Linked DNA regions of Drosophila melanogaster. The protein of the gene in region 1 purifies or fractionates together with the protein of each later gene. This does not show direct contact. Each region holds a gene or a part of one and is shown on either strand. Other genes may lie near its edges.

Region 1 (3,095 bases):
CCATTTTCCGGTGTGTGTGTGTTAGCTTGTGTGCTTTTCTGGGGGAGCGCCCACTATTGAAATATATGTTTTGGCGCTCTCCACTGTGTTCTCTGTGTTTTGCCTTTCACTTTCTCTGATTTCACTTTCGTTCCTTTTAATTAAATGGATTTCTCGGCCGGCTTTAATTAACATCAAATTTATCTTTACGCCCCCGTGCACGTGTAGCAATAATGTTCGGCGATTATGGGTTCATTACCCGCTGTGCCGGTGGCCTAGGCCTAAATGTTTACAATTTTCCAGGTTTAAGGTAACATTTGAGCCAAAGGTTCAATGCCGCCATGGACCCGATGACCTAGTAAAAAAGAAAAAGAAAAGGAAAGCACACACCTTTAGGCCTAAGTGGATTTCCATGTTCGCCTGCAGTTTTCGCGACTTGGCCATAAATCTAGAGCTCCTAACATGGAGGCGTTGGTCACAGAATGTGGGTCAACCAACGATTTACAATATATTAATTTAAGGCCACATCGAAAAGTAGAAGCGAAAGTAACAAAAAATTCAAAGGATCAATCAGTTGATGCGACACACGCTGCTCTCGCTCTTCGCTCTTGTCCAATTGCCATGGAACTCCTCATGACGCAAACCCATGGCCTGAGCCTCCGACGTCGTGGAATCCGTAGTGCTGGCCAGATGGAGACGCTCCGAAGCGAAGCTATCCAAGCTGGTGGAGTGCTTACAAGGATGGATTTTGGTCATGAACTCCCTTTGGCTGCAGCCTGCATTCTCCTGATTGTTCCGGATGATCTCACGGGCAAAACGGGCCAATAACTTCTGTTTGTGGTGACGCTTGCTGAGTGGTCCATGGGCACAGTTCTCTCGGATCCAGCGACGAGCCTCCCGACATCCTAGATATATACTCTGGTTGCTAAACGTCTTTGTATCCAACATGAAGCCACGATTGCCCAGCAGTCCGAAGCCCAGATCGAAAATATTGCGACCCAGGTTGAGCGGATTTGGTCCGTCCTTGGACTGGAACTTATTCGGACCGACGGCATCCATAGGCTCCTTGGTTTCCTGGTAGAATCGGCGATCCTCCGGCGTGCAATACGTCCAGGGTTTGAAACTCATCGTGTAATGATCCTTCATCTCAAAGTCGACGGGCAGACTATCATTGAAGTTAACCTGATCGATCGAGACCAGTCTGCCATTGTGATGGGTTACTTGATAGGTAACGCCCAAGGAATCAGGAATTTGTATGGTGCCTTTTCCGTGGAAACGATTGTTGAGAAACTCTCCCGTGTAGCATGTCCCATCCGGATAAATGTAGACACCCATCTCCTGCATGCCCAACTCATCACTGGGACCAACGTATCTGGATCCAGTCAACAGAATATCAACCTGGGTAATGCTTGAAGATTTTGTTGTCTTCTGCTCCATGATTTTTAGAAAGCTTATTTACACTGTATACCAAAAATAACAATTTTAAAGTTGAGTAAATGTTCGTTGAAATGGGTGTTCAAATAATTTACTATATATTATTTGAGATAACAAGTTTTGCCGAACTAATATGATGCCACTAATGGCAATTTACTTAAATAATTATAACTTAAATGAGTAACGCCCCTCAAGATAATCAAAGAAATTTCACTAATGTTCGCTAATTACCCAGTGAATATCTATATAAACTCGTCAGTTTAACTAGGCAGTAACAACCTTCGCTTGAAATCATGAAGCTATTGGTAGTTTTCTTGGGTCTCACTCTCGTCGCAGCAGGAAGTGCTAAGAAGGATTCCGAGGATCCTGATCACATTATAACCAATGGAAGCCCCGCTTATGAAGGTCAGGCACCCTATGTGGTGGGCATGGCCTTTGGACAGAGCAACATCTGGTGCAGTGGCACTATTATAGGCGACACCTGGATCCTTACATCCGCTCAGTGTCTAACGGGCAGTTCCGGAGTGACCATCTACTTTGGAGCCACCCGGCTGAGTCAGGCCCAGTTTACGGTGACAGTGGGAACTAGTGAGTACGTTACGGGTAATCAACATCTCGCCCTGGTTCGAGTTCCTCGAGTCGGATTCAGCAACCGGGTCAACCGGGTGGCCCTTCCATCACTGAGAAATCGATCCCAGCGCTACGAGAACTGGTGGGCAAATGTCTGTGGATGGGGAGTGACCACCTTCAGCAATGGACTCACCGATGCGCTGCAATGCGTCGACCTTCAGATAATGTCCAATAACGAGTGTATCGCCTTCTACGGATCCACCACCGTCTCCGATCAGATCCTGTGCACCCGTACGCCCAGCGGCAGATCCACTTGCTTTGGCGATGCCGGCAGCCCCCTGATCACCAAACAGGATTCCACCGTGGTGGGCATTTCCGCATTTGTGGCCTCCAACGGGTGCACCTTGGGATTGCCCGCTGGATTTGCTAGGATCACCAGCGCACTGGATTGGATCCATCAAAGGACTGGAATCGCCTACTAATGGGTCAAATAGTAGCAACATTTAATAAAAAATGTCCAATACCTGCATAGATATTTTATTGCTTATAAGGTCTTTTCTACTTTAAAAAAAAATTGGCTAATATACAGCAAAGTCCGGTGGGTTGTACTGAATACTAATGCAAAATATACTTAAAATGAATATGATCCTACTGACCATTAAACTATTAACAAATACTACGAGTATTCTAAGAAACTTTAAAAACGTTGAATTTTATTTTTCAGATTACAAAGTAATTGCATTCATTTTCTCTCCGAGCTCTTAAGCTTAAATTTTAAATTGAAAAAAACATATATAAAGACATTGATCGGCGGATCTACAACTCGAATATGGACCGGGTCATGTCCATGTAGCTATTGCGGCGTATTAGATTAGATTGCACCACATTTATGTTATCCGCCGTCCGTTTCCTCATCATGTTGTTGGCCGAGCGGTATGATTCCTCAAAGTTTAGGACCAGTTCATCCTCGCCAAAGCTGTCCGTCTGGCAGCTGGAGGGTCCACCCGACTGCGGATTGCGTACATCTGAGGTGCTCGACCATCGGCGTGGTCTCTTCACCGTCTCCATTTTGGCGCAAGGATGCACGCGCTTGAACTCCATTTGATCCTTCT
Region 2 (3,753 bases), 3.8 Mb from region 1:
TGCCAAGATCAAGAAGATGGACATACCACGACAGCGGGACGAGTTCCTGCTTTGGTACCGTTCTTATTTGGAGCAGCTGTTTGTGGTGGAACAGCCGCAGGATAGCTGCAAGACCAAGTCGAAGGTGACACCTTCTGGAGCCAGTCCGGCCAAGCTGAAGAACCAGCGTGTGCGCAAACAGTCCCAATCCCAGTCGCAGGACTCGAATAACGATGCAGACTTGGCCGAGGCGGACCAAAAGAACGTCTCCTCCGCGGGAAATGGCGAACTGGAGTGCGAGAACAACGAAAATCCCGACGAGGAGGCAGATGGACAGGCTGCAGCGGAGCCTTCCGGCGCAGAAAAACAGGACGTCAGTCTCGAATAGACTAGAGAATAACCCAACAAAGCAAACATTCCTTATTTAAGAAGTCATCATCTGTACGGATATTTCATATTTCATTTACGAATTTCGGAAAAGATAAATCTTTTATGGTCGTGTCCTTAGTCGTAGTTCGCAACTCATTTTGGGTATCAGTTTTTTATTTAACACTAAATTATGTAACAATAATATATATAAATACACTGAAAACAAGAAGGGTTTTGAATTCACCTAACAATCCCTGAGAATAAATACTTCTCCGGATTCTATTAGCCACTCCTTGCGGACGTCATCTGCTCCAGCATGCGGTAGTAGCAGTACCGGCTATCGTAGTCCAGATCGTACCAGAAGTTCACGGCGATGCACTTGTGGCTTTGGGACACATGGTGGAACCAGTAGTTGGGCAGGTATAGGATGTCTCCCGCGTGAACACGTACTTTCAGAGGCTTGGCCCGGGCGTACTCCGGATATTTGGCCAGGTCGGGTGACAAGGGATCAACGCTGACCCATTCTGTGAACTGATCGCTGCCTTCCTCATCCCTCAACGGTTCAATGTAGAACTGACCACTATCTGAGGTCTTGTAAACGCCTGTAGGGTAAATTCCTCGCGGTACGCAGCTAAGCTGGTGCGGCGGGATGAGAACGAAGTCCTTGTGACCGGATATCACGCAGTACACGTTCTCGTATGGATCCTTGTGCATGGAGGTAACGGCGCGCTCGTCGCCCAGCCAAAAGTTAACAGCATCAGGCGGTTTGTTAAAGGACTGCTGCGCAAAGTCGAGATCACTGACCCGCAGATCAGCAGCCAGTTCCGGTAGGTCCACACTGAGGTTAGAGTTCTGCTTTTGTATGTAGTGGACAGCACCAGTGGGATCATCCAGGCGGCGGACCACCTCGGACAGCTTCATTTTCGTCTCCAGCGGCAAAACGAAGTACTCCTGTCCATTTTGAGTGGCCAAGCCGTCGGCATAGCCATTCGGGGTGATTGCCACATCCACGCTCCTGTCCCCGAGAGCCTCGATCAGGTACTTTGGCGTCCATTTGCCAATCGCGGGCCAATTGAGTGCCTTGCGAATGACCACCGGCTGGTTTTTGGAGTAGAATTCCCGACAAAACTCCAAGGCGGTTGGAATCCTGTCCAGCTCCACTACGCTGCTCCCGATGCACAGCTCCTCCGCTTCCTGGAGCAGAACATCCAGAGCTCTTTCGACCTCGGACATGCCGGTAAACAACACGCACTAACGCATTTTCCGCTAGAGTGGACCTTATCAGCGCAGTGTAATGTGGGGTTCTGGTTTTCAGTGAAAGTTAAACTGAAGTGCTGCAGTGAATTTAATTAGTTTCACCAAATGACGTATTAAATAAATAATATATTATACACAAATTAAATTGAAACATTTATTATTGTAATTTTTGTTACGTTTTTAAAGTAAGTAAGCAAGGTATTCCGAAAAAATCGATAAGGGTCAAATTCGCGTCGGTGAAATGCAAAAATGCTAAGAAAAGAAAGATCTTACTATCTATCTTATAGAGGTTGTCTAGCGTGCATTTTGATTTTGATTTTGCTTTTAATAATTAATTTGAATTTGGTGGTATAGAAATATAAGTGGTATTTTCTGAAACTGCAATGGTGTTGAGAACTGTGGTATTTATTTGCAAGTCGCTTGGTATTTTCCAGCGCTTTCGGCGCGGTCCCACTGGACGCGAGTGTGTTTGCGAGTGCGGGACTTTCAAGACGCGCGCGAAGCTGCGGACAGTCGGATAGGAAGTGGAGCGGACTGGAATGCAAACAAGACGACGCGTGTCGAGTGTTTGTGATAGAAACAAATTGTTTTCGAATACGGTCGGTGCTCTATTTGTTTTGTGAAATACAATTGATTTCACCAGCGACTCAGAGGAGGATCAGGGTCGTCACCTCTTTTGCATGCCCGACATTCGCGCGGATTCGAAGTTCAGCTGGTGCGATTCGAGCAACAGGTGGCGGATGACGGATGGATGGATGGGTGGCTAAATGGATCGTGTCGATGGGCCACGGGATTTGGCGAAATTTGGTGCTGATAGACTTATAGACTGACATAGGCCCGGCATTATTATTTGTGGCCAAAAGGGGTCAGGCGGTGTGCGCGTGAGGAAATTGAATTGACTTGGTGGCCACCGGCGGCGGTCCGAAATCGAAATCTGTGTCGCAAATGTGGCACTAATAAATTATCGCACATTCGCGCGCCGCACAGCGAGTGCTTCATTAATGCAGGAATCGCAAATGACGGAGAATATCTAGTTTTGCAGCGGCACTGCGTTTGTTTCATTTTGCCAGGAGAACGTGACCAAACTTTCCAAGTGCCGCGTGAATTGGATCTACCCAGCCAATAGGTCTTAATAGAGCTAACAATTATTTTTGGTAGCCACGCTTCGCGAAGCTGGGCGCAAACAAAAAAGAACGCAAACTCCGTGGCCTATAAATATCGGTCTTCGGAATTACTAAATCCAATTGCAGTCCAATTAGCAGTCGGACGCCAATGAAGCGGCTGTGAAAGAGTAAGTACGATGCTCTTTTGAAGCAAATACTTGCAAACGTCGAAGTTTACACACCCTAACGATTAAAGAATGTTTAACTTAACTGAAACATAAAAAATTATGCTTAAATAAATAAATTGATGTCTTAATTTGCCAATCAGACTCTGTGACTCTAAACACACAGTTCCAATCAGACAAATTTTCAAATCTAATCTGCTTAAAAATAAACCAAAGTGATTGATAGAGTCTTATGTTGATAGCTATTTAACTGATATAGGCTATAATAGACACTTCCGGTGAAAGTTCCCTTCAATGCATTACAAACCATAGACTGCAGCGCATATACCCTCCAAAAAAAGAGAATCAAAATCAACAAACGCCAACAGTGCGTATGACAGTTCTTACGCAATTAAAATACCATCACTGGCTGTAAGATTTACATAAATTCGGCCTGCGAAACTGAAAACTGATAAGCGTCATAAAAAAAAAATGAGGGGCAGCAACAACAATTGGTGTGTGAACCGAAACCCGAAAGCCGAAAAGCCAGTTGGGGAAACAATGCCAAACTCGCACAGAGCAATGCATTTTTCCACAATTTATTTAAATTTCGCACAGTTGTTGCTGCTGCATGGCAAGCCCCGAAATGAGTCAGTCGCGTGGCGCTGCACTCGCAGTTGCACTCGCACTTGCATTCGCTGCATGCCAGCGCGTACTTCTTTGTGGCGACAGAGGCTGCGCCGTCATAAGCACTGTCAAATTGCGATCGCCCCCGAGTGGGTGGGGCGTCGAGGGGAGCTGCGGCGGCCGGTGGGAGGCGTCATTGGCCCACTGCTGTTGCTGCTGTTAGGCGCGCTTTTCTCTTGCACCTCGCTGCCCCG

What was found. Proteins that work in one complex are often made in the same cells at the same time.
Region 2: the proteins of CG3088 (region 1) and JMJD7 purify together in Drosophila melanogaster (affinity purification with mass spectrometry, with the first as the bait; one large-scale study listed by BioGRID). This does not show direct contact.

Annotation. Positions count from the first base shown.
Region 1 is NT_037436.4:9,599,917-9,603,011, reverse strand, and holds CG3088 (uncharacterized protein), read left to right. Parts: upstream 1-1,686; 5' UTR 1,687-1,706; coding exon 1,707-2,465; 3' UTR 2,466-2,522; downstream 2,523-3,095. Other genes in the region: CG3306 (uncharacterized protein), read right to left, coding at 550-1,416; CG3222 (uncharacterized protein), read right to left, coding at 2,800-3,095.
Region 2 is NT_037436.4:13,448,679-13,452,431, forward strand, and holds JMJD7 (jumonji domain containing 7), read right to left. Parts: upstream 1,606-3,753; 5' UTR 1,582-1,605; coding exon 631-1,581; 3' UTR 509-630; downstream 1-508. Other genes in the region: cmb (combover), read left to right, coding at 1-367. UniProt on the Drosophila melanogaster protein: Bifunctional enzyme that acts both as an endopeptidase and 2-oxoglutarate-dependent monooxygenase.